Rhinolophus ferrumequinum: one gene and its partner. The protein of the gene in region 2 interacts with the protein of the main gene of each other region in a biochemical or structural test. Links are inferred from orthologs where the notes say so. Each region holds a gene or a part of one and is shown on either strand. Other genes may lie near its edges.

Region 1 (7,914 bases), about 9.5 Mb from region 2:
CACAAGCAAAGCCCTGAGGCTCTTGGATATCTAGAAGAGAAGGAAAACCCAGCAGAGACTGAGAAGTAGCCAAAGAGAGGGAAAGAAACCCAGGGAGGGCAGTGTTATACAACCTAAGAGCAGACACAATTTCAAGAAGGAGGATGTGGCTGTCTGTGTTGAATGCAGCTGAGAAGTCGCATGAGAAGAGAACAGAGAAATGACTGCCGGGTTTGGCAATGTTCAATGTCAACTGGTGACCTTGACAGGAGTGGTTTCAGTGGTATAATTAGGTTGGAAACCAGCATGAATTGGGTTAAGAGAAAACGTGAAATAGGAATTGGAGATAGTGACAACCCTTTCCAGATGTTTCTCTGTGACAGGAGTAGAGAAATTGGCCAGTAGGTGGAGGAGGATGTGGATCAAGGAAAAATTCAGTCTTTTTAGTGATAAGAAATACTACGTGAATCTTAGCTACCATTTACTGATCTCATCTAATCCTCCCAACAGTCCTAAAAGGAAGATATTCTGATCATTTTCCAGTTGGAAGTTACTTAACTTGTCTGAGGTCATGAGAATACTAAGTGGTAGAGCCACTGGGATTTGAACCCAGCTAGAGTGTGCTTGTGTACTGGACAAGGTCCCTGGGAGAGGCGATTGCTGATGCAGGGGTGGGGAAAGTCTGTAGGGCAATGTATGAGAAGGTGGGAGGGGATGGATTCAAGAATGAAGAGAGAGACGCGTCATCCCATCATCACAAGAGGGGCATTGGAGAAAGTGAGAGCAGGTTGGTTTGTAGTTTTGGTGCAGAGAGGTGAGGGAGCTGTCGCCTGCTGACTTTTAGGTGCTTTGGAGAACTAGGGAGACAGGAGGCAGTAAGTTTGAGGAGAGATGGTACAAAATCCTTATCTTGGTGAGTGGCTTAGTGAGGGAAAGTAGGAGGATTGCCAGGAAGTAAGGGATGTCCATTTGAGGTTTGTGGTTGTGAAACAGAGTGACACCGCGGTCCCAGGCATAACATGCCCTTTGGCCACAACCAGCCTTTGTTCAAGCTGGTTCCATATCTAGGAACACCCACTCTCATTCTCTCCCCCTACTCTTCATGACCCAAACCAGACTTCCTCCTCTTTTTGTGGACCACTTATTTCAGCAGTTACCCAGACATTCATTCATTCTTTGACTCAACGCACATGCACTGAAAACCTACTGTTTGGAAGGACCCAGGTAGGTGCCCACAATGAATAACACCCAGACCTACTCTCAAGGAATTACTGTCTAGAAGGGACAAGCATATAAATTACGGTATGCTATGACAAGAACAACATTGAAAGTAGCCAGAGGTACATGGTGGCATAGAGGAAGATAAGAAATTTTCCATGGAGTCAGGGATTCCCTCCCCAAGAAGATGTGGCTTCCCTGGGCCTTGAAGCATGAATGTAAGATGGACAAGGGGTCAAGGACTTTCCAGGTGGAGGAACCACTTGTGCAAAATCCCTGAGTTTGCCAAGAGTATGATGAGGCTTGGGGACCGTGAGAAGCTCCATGTAGCTGAAGGAGAAAATGCTAGAGGGGTAGGACGGGGCATGAGGTTGGAGAAGAATGTGGGAGCCAGATCACAACTGACTGAAATCTGGGAGTTATTCTGAAGTCACAGTGAGGAGAGGCAGGCTCACATCTGCATTTTAGAAATATCGTTCTGGAACCTCTCGTGCATGTAAGGTCTCTGACACTCTCATGTATGCGGGGTTCCATACATCTGCATATACTAAATTTGGTTATTTTTCTCTTTAAAAAAATGAAAAGAAGAAGCATCATTCTGTGGCTCTGCTTAGGGAATAAACTGGAGCAGCAAGATTGGAAAAAGGGAGTCCAATAAGAAAGGAGGCTGAGAAGTGAGAAGTGGCAGGAGCCAGCCTGGGAGGGAGATGGGCCAGAGCCATTTAGATGGCAGAATTCCTAGGAACAGTTAATGGGTGAAAAAAGTTGGTGAAGGAGAGGGAGGCTTAGGTACTCTGTGGGAGTAGAACTGTAAGCCGAATGTGGAATACAGACAGTAAGGGAAGTTTGGGGTGGGGCACCAAGCTCAGTTTTGGTCAAGATGAGTTTGAGGTTCCCAGGGCTATTCAAATGGCAGCAGTTGATAGGGTGAGGTGTGGTGGGGTTGAGTCTGCAGGGAAAGGCCGGGATAACCCACAGGTGGAAATGAAAATGCCCAGAGAGCTGTACATTTTCCTTGAGAAAGTAACAAGGATGGGACCCTGGGGCTGGCGGAGGATGAAGGATGGGGAAGGCAGCTGCTGAGGCTGCTGAGACACAGCCCGTGAGGTCCAGGAGAGTGGCCTGTGGACCCAAACAGAGAGCTGTTGGCCACGTTCGCCGACTTCCCTCTATTTTTCCCCCAGTGTTTGCTGGGTGCCCTCTCAGAGCAGGCCCAGCTCCAGGTGCCAGGATACAGTGGTGAATAGGACCGTTGTCCCTGTCCTATTAGCGGAGTCAGACCCCAAACCATCACGTACACAAATAAACCAGATGATTTCCCATGTTGGTGACTACTATGAAAGAAACAGGGTGACATGGTGAGGAGTTATGAAGGCAGGGCTGGGACTGGCTATTTTAAACTGGGTGGCCAGGGAAGGCCTCACATGAGTTGAGACCTGACTGACAGAATGCGCCAGGCAGAGCAGCGCATTCTGGGAAGGGGGGAGAACAGTACAAAGCCCTGCAGGGACAAGGAGCTTGCTTGATGGCAGAAATAGAAAGAAGGCCAGAGTGGGTGGAGTGTTGTGAGTTAGAGGGGTGTGTGAGATTAGGTTGGAGAGGTAGACAGGGTGGCTGTGGAGAAACTGGGAAGCCACTTAAGGTCCTGTTCTGTCATTTTATTATTTATCTTCTTTGCAATTTGCTATTACCCTAGCTCTAGATTTTTTTTGTGTGTGTAACGGTTTTATTGAGATAAAGCTGGGCTCACATACCGTACAATTCACCCACTGAAGTTATATAGTTAAATGGTTTTCAGTATATTCACAGTTGTGCAACCATCACTACAGTAATTTTTGAACATTTTCATCCCCTCAGAAAGAAGCCCCATACCCTTTAGCCATCATCCGCTATTTCTCTGATTTCCATCCCCCCCACACCAGCTCGAAGCAACCACTAATCTATTTTCTGTCTCTCTGATACTCTGTGGTCCTTTGTGACTGGCTTCTTTCACTTTGCATAATGTTTTCAAGGTTCATAGCATTTCTTTTGAAGGCTGAATAATATCCCATTATATGGAAAATGACAATTTTCCATATCATCAGTTGATGGACATGTGGGTACCATTTTATTGTTTTTAATTTTAATAATCTAAGTAATGTATGATTCAAGTAATGTATGTATACATTCTCAAATTAAAAGAGGCAAACACTATCAACACAAAATATAAAAACCCCCACGCTTCTCCTTCAGTCCTACTTTTCTCCCCAGAAGAGTCTAGTCACAGCTTGCTCTGTGTGATTCTCGTCGTATAAGTCGGATTTTTTCACATAACTTCTCATTACACTATGGGCTCCACAGGCTATGGCTCCTTCCTCGTCCTGGGTTATCTATTTATCTTCTGGGTAAGGTGGGCCCTAAAGGTTTATAAACTCATTTGGTGGCAGGGAGTGTGTGAGTCCTGTGAAGGGACTTTCCCCTATCTCTGAACATCCACATTCAGGTGTGGACGGGACGGTGAGTGGCTGGGAAGAGGCCAAAATCAACAGCTCCAACCCACTGCGCTATGACCGCCAGAGCGGGGGATTTATAGTCACTCGGGCTGGGCTCTACTACCTGTACTGTCAGGTAAGCCCCACCTGGCTGCATGGGTAAAGCAAGAACTGAAGGAGAAGGGTTTGGTTTAGAGGGTGGGGGCAAGCTAAAGGTGGGGAGGGGGAGCTTGGGGATTTAGCTGGGGAGGATATCTGGCTCTAAGGAAATTTGAAACTGGGGGCAAGCAGAGGCCTGGACTGTGCCACCTTCCTCCCCCCCACCCCCAGGTGCACTTTGACGAGGGGAAGGCTGTCTACCTGAAGTTGGACTTGCTGGTTGATGACACGCTGGCCCTGCGCTGCCTAGAAGAATTCTCTGCCACTGCAGCAAGTTCCCTCGGGCCCCAGCTCCGTCTCTGCCAGGTGTCTGGCCTGTTGCCCCTGCGGCCAGGGTCCTCCCTACGGATCCGCACCCTCCCCTGGGCCCATCTCAAGGCTGCCCCCTTTCTCACCTACTTTGGACTCTTCCAAGTTCACTGAGGGGCCCTGGTCTCACGGTGGTTTACCCAGGCTGCTGGCTCCCCACAACAACTCTCTGAGCACCCCAGCCCCCTCTGCCCCACCCTAAGCTGCTGCTCCCTTCAGACCTGCCTCTCCCTGGGTAGACTGCCAGGGCTTGTTCACGTGTTTTCCTTGCCACATAAATATTCCCATTCGTCTCCGACAACTCCCCCCACCTCTGGTTCTCCACCTCGCTAGCTTCTGAACCCCTGATCTTTGATGCCCCTATGTATCTCCTGACTCCCCACTCTGGCCACAGCCCCCTGAGACACTGTTTACTGTACTCTGGGTGAGGATGGGTCCCCAGTACCCCTCTTCAGGCACTAAGAGGGCTGGATGCCAAAGAGACTGGGAATAGGCCAGGAGTTCCCTAATGTGAGGGCTAAGAGACCAAGACAAGTTCCTCCCTGATAATATCCTGTGGATTTTTAAAAGATATTATTTTTATTATTATTGTGACAAAATGTTGATAAGTGGATATTAAAGAGAATAAGTCATGGTCGCTCTCTTTATTGGGGCTTAGGGGACCTCCTCAGGGTAGCTGAGGGCCCTGGGAAGGGGGTCTTGGGCCTTGGGGAGCGGGGTGTAAAACACCTGGAATTCCAGGGCTGTGTGCAGGTTTGGGAGTGGGGACCCACATGCCTCCAACCCCTGAGAGTGGAAAGGCAAACTGCCAGGAAAAAAGATTAATCCTCTGCCCAAGGTCCAGCAGAAGCAGCCTCATTTACCTAGGAGGCGGGCTTCCTCCCGCGGGGAATCCCTAGCTGGGAGATACAGGGCCCTTCCTCTTGGCAGTCTCAGGACATTCAGCAGGTGCTGGCACTAGCCCTGGCGGGGATGTGGGGTGGGAGCAGGCCTAGAGAGGGCTTCAGGGTCAGTAAGCAGGACAGTGGGACCCAGGAACATGGAAACCTGTGCCCCAGGATCCAGGGCAGGAATCCTACAGTGGTAGGGTGCTTGGGGCTGTCTCTTTCTCTCTTCGTCCAGAGCCTTATGTAAGAGCTTTTCTCTGGAAACAGGAAGTCCTGCTTGCCAAGTTCAGCATAGGGAGTAGTGCAGGCCTTATTCCAACACACCCGGCCTGGCCTTAACCCCAGAACTCAGCCAGTTTCTTTCTTCCGCGACCCTAGTTCTCCCCACTGGCCCCCTTCCGTCCTTTCCCACCTTCAGTCACTCCTAGTAAACTTCCCTAGAGATCTCTCCCTGGCCTGAGCCCAGAGGATCTTCCACCCTCACCCCTTGACCCTCGATGCTGCCCAGCTTGTCCCTCCATCCCTGCTCCTGGCACCATGCCCCATAACCAGCCAACCTTCCCTCCCCCACTTCTGGGGCCGCCCCAGGGTTCCTGTGCTCTGGCCGCTCCTCCTGGGTGTCACTGGCAGCCCCGTGCTTCCTAGAGAGACTGACACCAAATTCTCCTGAGGCTGGAGGAGGGTTCGGGGTCTCAAGACAACATTGGCCCCACAGCGGGGTGCCAGGAGCACCAACAGTGCCCCTAGCTTGCTTTCTTCCTCCCTCCTTTTTATTCTCAAGTTCCTTTTTATTTCTCCCTTGCGTAACGCCCTTCCTCCCTTCTGCACCACTGCCTGCACTCCCACCCTCCCTGCCACCTCCTTGCCATCCACTCTTGAGACCATAGCTGTTGGCAGGGTCCCCAGCTCATGCCAGCCTCATCTCCTTCCTTGCTAGCCCCCAAAGCGCCCCCAGGAGACATGAGGGGCCAGGTCCGAGAACCGGCACTCTCAGTTGCCCTCTGGTTGAGTTGGGGGGCAGCTCTGGGGGCTGTGGCCTGTGCCATGGCTCTGCTGACCCAACAAACAGAGCTGCAAACCCTAAGGAGAGAGGTGACCCGGCTGCAGAGGACTGGAGGGCCCTCTGAGAAGGGGGAAGGATATCCATGGCTGAGCTTCCGGGAGCAGGTGAGTGAGGGGAGAAGGGTGTCTGGGGTAGAAGGATGGGTGGCAGGGTTGTCTCTGGGCCTCTTGGTTCCAGACTCCTAGTCTGCAAAGTTTCAAGTGGGTGCAAGAGAGGTCCCGGGTTTGGAGGTCAAGGGAGTAGCCATTCCAGGAAAGAAATTGTTAAAGATTAATGCTTCTTGTACCTACCAGATCCTGGAATACAGCCAGCACCAAGACTCAGGTTGCTGGGGAAAGGTGCATGAGAGATGTGGGGCGTGCCCGGGATGGTGGAAGGGCTGAAAAGAAAGGCTGTCTGGGACTTTTGCATCTTAGCCTAACCCTGACCTTCTTTCCATGAACAGAGCCCTGACAGCCTGGAAGGCTGGGAGAATGGGGAGAGACCCCGGAGAAGGAGAGCCACGCTCACCCGTAAACCGAAGAGTGAGGCCTCCAGGGTGCAGCAGGGGTGGGAGTGATCAAGCAGCCTGGGGATTTGGAGATTGTTACCCCAAGACAGGGTAAGGGTGGAGGGCTGACAACAGGGCAACTGGGGTAGGTGGACACTGCTGAGATTTCCTCCTTCTCTCCTCAGAGAAGCACTCAGTTCTGCATCTTGTTCCCATTAACATTACCTCCAAGGGTGAGCACGATTTTAAATCATGGCTTTTGGGGAGGGACAAGATCTGGGAACTTCCGGGGCTGGCACCTGGGCCCAAGAGAATCTGAAAGGTGAGAAGTACCTGAGAATGCATAGAAATCCTGATTGCCACACTCCTCACCTCCAGAGGACTCTGATGTGACAGAGGTGTTGTGGGAACCAGCTCTTAAGCGTGGGAGAGGCCTGGAGGCCCAAGGATATGTTGTTCGAGTCTGGGATACTGGAGTTTATCTGCTGTACAGCCAGGTAACCCCAAACAAACATCGAACCTCATGTAGGGGCCTGGAGGCCTTTTCTCCCAGAGTCTTATGCCCCAATACTGAGGTTTCCCCACCCTCTGGTCATACCAAACTTAGAAGACCCTTCTTCATTCCTTGGCTCCTTTGTCAGGGCTCCTGAGGCCTCCCAGAACTGAGCAACACTGCCCTGTTTTCTTCAACATCTCCTCCCTTCCCTGCCAGGTTCTGTTTCATGATGTGACTTTCACCATGGGTCAAGTGGTGTCTCGGGAGGGCCAGGGAAGGCAGGAGACTCTATTCCGATGTATACGAAGTATGCCCTCCAACCCAGACTGGGCTTACAATAGCTGCTACAGTGCAGGTAAGAGCCTGTGGGTGGTAGGGGGTGGATGTGAGAACAGCAGGACATCCCTGACCTAGGAGTAGTAGCGACAAGGGGAGAGCTGTAACAGGGGGTTGGAAGCCTAGGTGTAGAGGTGGATCTGAGGAACGAAAGACAACACCTAGGTCCTTACAGGAAGCAGTAAAAAGGTTGAGCTGGAAAAGGGAGGGTGAAACATCAGAGTATGTTCCTGGCTGTGCTTCACTGAGCATCCGTTTTTCTCCCTTTTCTCAGGTGTCTTCCATTTACACCAAGGGGATATTCTTAGTGTCATAATCCCGCGAGCAAGGGCGAAACTTAGCCTCTCTCCCCATGGAACCTTCCTGGGTTTTGTGAAACTGTGATTTTGTTGTAAAAGGTGGTTCTGGGCTTGGAAGACCAGGGTTGGTACATACTGGAGACAGCCAAGAGTTGACTAGACAAAGCACGGAATGAGCAGGAACACAGGCCTCTTCTGGGTTTGACT
Region 2 (7,352 bases):
CTTGGTTTTGTCTTACATCTTATACTCTCAGAGAAGGTTCAATGGCATGACCTCAAGGGGGACAGAGTAGGGTGGCAGACAGTCCATGAAGGAATCAAGCGCTCCCTGCCTCAGAAGAGACCACAACACCTAGCGTGGGCAGGAGCCTTGGGGCCAAAATGTCACAGATGCATTGCGTAGACTGGAACAGTCTCATTGGAAAATATTGATCAAGACAACTGTTGCGCGGGGCGTCCGGCGGGGTCTCTGCTCCTGCTCCCCACATAAGAACGCAGGACATAGTGAGGCCAAACAGGAACACCCACGGAGCCATAGGTAGGGGAGTCATACCACTATATTCTCGCTGGCGGCTGGGTTGGAGACACAGGAAGCAGGAGCCACACTGTTCACAACCCTCACTGCACCCCTTGCAGGCTCAGCCACCATCTTCTTGCTAGCCCCCATTTTCTGCTAGTGAAGCCACAGCAGTTATATTAGTGGCCAACGGCTCCCTGGTTACAGCTGACGGCCAACTAGCCACAGCTGATGGCCATCCAATCATAGTTGATGGCCATTTACTACTTGAGCGAGCACCTTTCCACGTGAGGCCGAGAGCCAGGAAACTGCACTCCTGGCTCTGTGCCCACAACAACACTGTTCCTTTTGACCTAGTAATTCCACTTAAGGGTCTTAAGCCATCTGACGAGACATGAAGACAGAATATATGTTAAATGATGTGTGTGGAGTGTTTAGAACAGTACGTGGAACACTCGTAAGTGCTTGCTGTTATTATTCCTAATGAGCATTTAAAGAGCTCATTTAAAAAGAGAAGGACTAGGGAACATTTGCTATCTTGCTCCCCAGCATGTGTTGTCAATTTGATTCAAATAAACTCTTGTAAAAATTAAAAAAAAGAGAGAGAGAAGGATTCATTGATAGGCTTTTTAAGTGAAAAAAGCAGCATGTCAACAGTGTGTTTAATCTATATAAGCCAGCAATTGTGTAAAAAGAATAACCAAAAAAGGGGGGAGGATGAAGCAGTATCTTTCATTTAATGACACACAGATGCTGGGCTTTGCTGCAGGGCTGTGTGCACAGGATCAGCTGTCTGAGTACGGAAACAGTGGCCTAGGGTATCCAGATGGGAGAGAAAAGTACTTTTCTCTGTATTCCCTTTCACGCTGTTGGAATTTGTCTTTAGCATGTGCTCATTGTAACTGCTTAAGCATACATATGTAAATGAACCAGTTCAAAAACCTTGAGGTCTACAAGGTATCTTTACTCTGGGTTCCAAAACAATTCTGTCACTTTGACTGCGGAACTTAAAATGAAAATCCTGTATTCCTCTGGAGACAGCTCAGAAAGTGCTGTTTCAATGAGGTTCAGAAACTCCAGCACCTGTTCTGCTTGCAACCGTGCAGCGCGGGAACGGGGTCACAGTGCTTTCACCTGTGCTTTCTTGTTTGAGTTTCCTGTTCATCCATTTGGCCAGGAGAAAATGAGGCCCACAAAGACTAAACAGCTTTCCCCTGAAGTGCTCCACAGCTTTGTTCTGTCTGGTTTAATAAAACCTAATGTCAATCAAAAGAAGCCAGAAGAAAGTGGATGATCCCATTTGTGTGTTCCCATTTATACAATGTTCAGAAACAGGCAAAAGGAATCTATGGTGACAGAAGTCAGAATAGTGGCTAATCTGTGGTGGGATGTCCTGCCTGGAGGAAAGGATGAGGGATGCACATGTTCTAAGCCTAGATCTGAATAGTGTTGCCTGGGTAGGCACATATGTAAACATTAAGTGGCCTGCTCACTTAAAATACGTGCATTTCCCTGCAGGTAAATGACACCTTTAATTAAAGAAAACAGAAAGCAAGTAAAATCTATTATTTGTAAATGGTGTTTGAGTAAAAGCATTAACAAGCAATGGTCAGCAAAGAGATGTTAGGGAACCCTACCATTCAATTCTCAGCCACCCCAAAAGTCAGGTTGGAGTTTGTTTTCCATTTCACACCCAACCTACACTGGCTTCAGACGCCAAAGGGCTACCTTATTGGCCAAGATAATGCATGTGGCTTCACAGAGCAGCGTTCAGTCCAGTGGGTCCGTTTAAGGACAGCACAGTCTGCTCAAAAGATGGAGATGAGCTTTCTAACAGTCAGAGCTAAACCTCAAGAAGCCAGCTGCTTTGGATGGTGGTCCTAAAAGGGGTATGCAAACAGAAGGTAAGGAGAGATTCAACAGTGACTCTGGGCTTGCCTTAACAGGCAACAGAATCTAGGATTGCCTCTGGCTCCCAAATCTACTTCACCAGCCCAGCTGTGGTTTCATTACTTTTCATTGACACAAGTAATACCTGACTATCTTCTCCGTGTGAAACATTAAAACATTACAAATAGGGCTAAGGTCCTCTCTACCGTCAACCCTAAGCCTGGGCCCCTTTTGCCCGACCTGGAGGCAGTCGCTGTCGTCATACGTATCCTTTCAGACCTCTGTACCACATGCACAGGTACCGTGTGTCCCCCAAAATAAGCCCCAGTTAAGATCATCAGCCAGACGGACGCATTTAGTACGTTGTGACAATGTTCCAGAAGAAGATGACATGACTGTATTTGAATAAATGTAGATTGTTTTACATGAAAAAATAAGACATCCCTGAAAATAAGCCCTAATGGAGCAAAAATTAATATAAGACCCGGTTTTATTTTCGGGGGAACGTGGTGAGTGATCACAGACTATACAGAGCAGCTTTGTGTGTGTCCTTTGTGTGTTTGTTTTACTAAAAGGCCTCTTAACTGTAAGTATCATGCTGTAAACTAGTTTTTTCCACTCAACGATCTGTCTTGACAATCTTTCCCATCTCAACAATCTGATAGATCTCATTCTTTTTACCTGTTGCATAGGACTCCGGGGTATGATCTCTGTACCTTGCTCATTCAGCCATCCTCCACTGGACCGGCATTTACGTTGTTCGGGTTGCTCGGTATTGTTAACTGTGCTTCGGTGAACATTCATGTGCGTCTGTGGCGTATGGAGAAGAATTTCTGGGTCGTGGGTTAGGGATATGTTCCACATTTTAAGTGACCCTGGCAAATTGCCCTCCAAAATGGCGGTACCAACTCCTCCCCCCAGCAGGGTGTGAGTCCACATTTCCCTAGACTACCTCTGGCACTTAACATTATCAAATTGTAAGACTTTGCCAACCTGCTGGATGAAAATTAGTTTTTCATTGTTTAACTTGTATTTTTCTGAGTATTGATGAGTGATTTTCAGGTTTATCAACCATTTGTGTTTCCTTTCCTCCTGGGCTCACTGTCATCCAAATCAGCCTTCAGCTTTCCTCCCTCCTGTCCTCTCACCTGTCCCAAAGCCTTCCCTCTTTTTCTCCACCTGCCTGAATCCGTCTTCCCATTCCTCAAAGTTTACTTCCTAAACTCCACAGGCTGTCTATGACTTCTAAATTCATCTCACTTTAGCCTTAAGCTACTGGGCTTCCTATCCCTGCAGAGGTTTCAGAGGAGTTGGGAAAATAGAAATAAAGTTACAACAGTGTAATAAACCTTACAGTGCTAATGTCATTTATTGAGAACTTACTATGTGCCAAGAACTTGCTCTAAGAATTTAACTGTTAACTAATTTCATTCTCATAACAACCTGTGAGACAGGTACCGTTATTATACCCATTTTACAGAAGAGAAAATGGAGGCACAGAGAAGTTAAGTATATTGCCACCAAGGCTGTAAGTAGCAGAGCCAAGATTCAAACCCAGGCTGTCTGGCTCTAGTGTCAGCCTCTTGAGTTCTTTGATAGGGGTAAGAACAGGCCTTAGGAAGCACAGAATGGGCTCCTAACCTGGCCTGGAGTGGTCAGGGATGTCTTCCTGGAGGAGTTGGCACCTGAAGAAGAAACAGGAGAGTATCAGGCAATAAAATATGAAACTGAGCCTGAAGAAGGAACAGGAGAGTATCAGGCAATAAAATATGAAAAAGTTGTCCAGGAAGAGGGAAGATGCCTCAGCAACGCTTGGAGGCTGGAGAACTGGTTCACCCTGGCTGCAGCCTGGGGTCTGTACACTGGAGCAGGAGACCGGGCCCAAATGATGGGCCAAGGCCAGATCTGGGCCAAATTAGAGTTTAGACCCCATCCCAAGGCCAGGCCAGCTCTTCCCCTGTTCGTTGCGCCCTGTGGGCACCGTGAGTGCAGTGCGGGTTCAGCAGACAGCACCAGACCCAAGTCCTGGAGCGTCAAGTCCACCCACCTCAGCCCATGAGACAGACTGCGCAGGCGTGGGGGTGGGAGTAGGTTCTGCTGATTTACATTTTACAGGTTGTGGGGAAAACCCAGGAAGTGCAGGCTAGGCACTAATCAAATCTAAGCCTAATAATAACATCCTGAGTAATGAGTGGCCTGGGCCGGAGCAGGCAAGGTGGCTGGAGCGGGGCAGGCCAGGAGGAGCCATGTGAGTAACTGCGGAGGCAGGCGAGTGGGCGCGAGGAGGGCTTGGCCTGGGGGACCGGGTGTGGGTTCAGTGGGGCTTGGTGGGCGTGGCGCCCACAGGAGGTGAGCAACCTCAGGAGGTCCAGGGGCCTCCCCACGTCCCCGCATGTGCAGAACCTGGAGTCTGGGCCTTTGGGGGTGTCGTGCAGGGGATCCTGCCGACTAAGCCAAGTGTCGTGCAGGGCGTCCGGTGGGGTCTCTGGTCCCGCTCCCCACATAAGAGCGCAGGACATGGTGAGGCCAAAAAGGAACACCCACGGAGCCATAGGTAGGGGAGTCATACCACTGTATTCTCGCTGGCGGCTGGGTTGGAGAAACAGGAAACAGGAGCCACACAATTCTCAACCCTCACTGCGCCGCTTGCAGGCTCAGCCACCATCTTCTCGCTAGCTCCCCCCTTTTTGCTAGCCTAGCCAGGGCAGTTATATTCATGGCTAATGGCTCACTGGTTACAGCTGACGGCCAACTAGCCACAGCTGATGGCCATTTGATCACAGTCGATGGCCATTTACTACCTTTCTATGTGAGGCCGAGAGCCTGGAAACTGCTGTTTGGGGCCCTGTCCCCACAGGGGGTCTGCGCCTTGCATTCCAGGAAAGGAGTGGTGAGGCAGGAAGGTGAGCCACACAGACCGGAATTCCCTCCGTGACCCCCACCCCACTCCAAACTGGTCCCAGAACCCAGAGCCAAATTGATCAGGACATTTTAAAAATATTTTCTTTTGAAGTTGACACTTAAGCAAAGGTAGAGAGGAGAGTCTAACACACCGTCCTGCATACATCAACCAGCTTCAACAATTATCGATATATGGCCAGCCTTCTAATATCCATGTCCCTCATTTACCCCCTTCGTCCCTACTGGATCATTTCAAAGCAAATTCCAAACACCACGTTGTTTGATTTGTAGATACTTCAGATTTATCTCTTAAAAACAAAAACTCTTTAAAAAACAAAACCAAAAAAACTAACCATCCATCATACCATGACCACTTCTGAAAAGAATAATTCCTTAGTGTCACCATATAGCCAGTGGTCAGACTGCCTCAATTGTCTTATCAATGTCTTTCCAATTGATTTGTTCAAATTAGGATCCAAAGACAGCCCACATTATACATTTTGTTATATGTTTTAATCTATAACAATTACCATTCTGTCTCACTGTTTGTTTCCTTGCTCTTTATTTCTTGAAGAAACTGGATCATTTATCTTGAAGAATTTTTATCAGGGCAGGTTTTAAAGGTTTGTTCAGCCCATAGGTTGCTAAAGCAGATGAGCAGATTCAAGTCTGTCACCGTGCAGAGGGGACCCAAGGCTGGATTTGAGGATGTGTCATGGTCATGAGTGGCATGGCCTGGATCTGCATGCTGCTCCCTGCCGCTTTGCCCCCTGCACCTTAGACAGGGAGTGTATCTTTTCTCTGCTTCCCTCGTATTTCCAGCGACCACATAAACCCAGACATGTCCCCAAACTAAGGGCTCAAATATATAAAATTTCTGAGAGTTGGACCAGGCGGTTTCGCGAGATTGCCCGGGACTGAGTCAGGAAGCTGTGATCTGGTGCAGTAGAATCAGCCCTGGCTGGGAGTCAGGAGTTCTAGCTCCCGCTGTTCACAGACTTGCTGCGTGACCTGGGGTGATCCCCTTTACCTCTCTGGGCTCTGTTTCCTCAGCTGTAAAATGAAGAAGGGCCTCTGTCACACCAGATGTTCCTCAAAAACATAAAAGCGTTTTGAACCTGCCGGAGCCCCATTTGAAGAGTCACAAGCAAAGGGTCTCAGAAGGGTTGCAGTTATAGTGCTTTGACCTTTAACCCAATGATTTTCAAATTAATTTGACCACAGAGGTCTTTCTTGATATAGCACCTATTAAGGGGTCAAGTACGTGAGGAAATACAGGCCAGAGGCTCCAAGAATCGTCTCTCCTGGCTGCTGTCTGGTCTCAGCGTGCAGGAGAGCCTAGGGTATGAGCCGGGCCCACAGAGGAGTTCTTCCCCATATGTTAATGGAGCTTCTTTCTTAAGCTTCTGTTCTGCCTGGCAGGTGTCAATTTGGGGGTGTTCCTGCCCCTCGTTGAGGCTGGATGATGGTTCTGAGATTTTATATAGGTCCAGGTGGTGGTGGAAGAAGGGAGAGCAGGGACAGTATCCACTGGTCAGTGGGGTGTCTGCAATCTGGCCAGTTGGTACAGATGTCCTCTTTAGGCCCAGTGGCTTGGTTGCTTCCCGATGATGAACAGGTTTTGAAAGCTCTCTAAGGCTTCCCTTGTCCGATCTAACCCACTGTTTATCCGCCCATCGCTTCCCAGTTGGGTGGGGTGGGTGGCAGCTTTCTCCTTCTCCTCCCCCCAGATGAGGGGAGGGGTCGGGTTTCTTTTTCATTTTGTTTGATCCTCTTATTTTTAAAATTTGCTTGTTGAATAGATAGTAGTTACATGTTGGAAGACCAGAAAATGCAAAACGTGATATAACAGAAAGCCTTCCCGCCTTGTCTTCCGTCTGCCCAGTTCCTGCCTCCCGTAGAATAAACAGCTTTATTTAGATATAATTTACATGCCATCAAGTTCACCTGTTTAAAGTAGACAATTCCATTTCTTTAAGAATATTCGCAGAGTGGTGTAACCATTGCTATAATCTAACTTTAGAACATTTCATCATCCCCAGAAGAAACCTGGTCACGCCTCGTTCCTCCCTACCCCCAGCCCTAGGCTACCACTAATCTACTGCCTGTCTCTATAGATGTAGGTATTTTGGACAAGTTATAAAAATGGAATGTGGTGTCTTGTGACTGGCTTCTTCTACTTAGCATACTGTTTTTGAGATTCATCCATGTTGTAGTGTGTAGCAGTACTTCATTCCTTTTGATGGCCAAATATTCCATTTTAATGG

Evidence for each region.
Region 1: the proteins of TNFRSF13B (region 2) and TNFSF13 form a complex in vitro, tested with the Homo sapiens proteins (2 studies listed by BioGRID and IntAct). The link is inferred for Rhinolophus ferrumequinum from reciprocal best matches to the Homo sapiens genes TNFRSF13B and TNFSF13.

What each region holds. Positions count from the first base shown.
Region 1 is NC_046304.1:11,314,944-11,322,857, reverse strand, and holds the start of TNFSF13 (tumor necrosis factor ligand superfamily member 13), read left to right. Parts: upstream 1-4,895; 5' UTR 4,896-5,932; coding exon 5,933-6,190; intron 6,191-6,531; coding exon 6,532-6,610; intron 6,611-6,761; coding exon 6,762-6,809; intron 6,810-6,954; coding exon 6,955-7,073; intron 7,074-7,288; coding exon 7,289-7,427; intron 7,428-7,682; coding exon 7,683-7,792; 3' UTR 7,793-7,914. Other genes in the region: TNFSF12 (tumor necrosis factor ligand superfamily member 12), read left to right, coding at 3,680-3,804, 3,999-4,250. UniProt on the Homo sapiens protein: Cytokine that binds to TNFRSF13B/TACI and to TNFRSF17/BCMA. Plays a role in the regulation of tumor cell growth. May be involved in monocyte/macrophage-mediated immunological processes.
Region 2 is NC_046304.1:1,781,811-1,789,162, forward strand, and holds the start of TNFRSF13B (tumor necrosis factor receptor superfamily member 13B), read left to right. Parts: upstream 1-4,344; 5' UTR 4,345-4,371; coding exon 4,372-4,432; intron 4,433-7,352. UniProt on the Homo sapiens protein: Receptor for TNFSF13/APRIL and TNFSF13B/TALL1/BAFF/BLYS that binds both ligands with similar high affinity. Mediates calcineurin-dependent activation of NF-AT, as well as activation of NF-kappa-B and AP-1.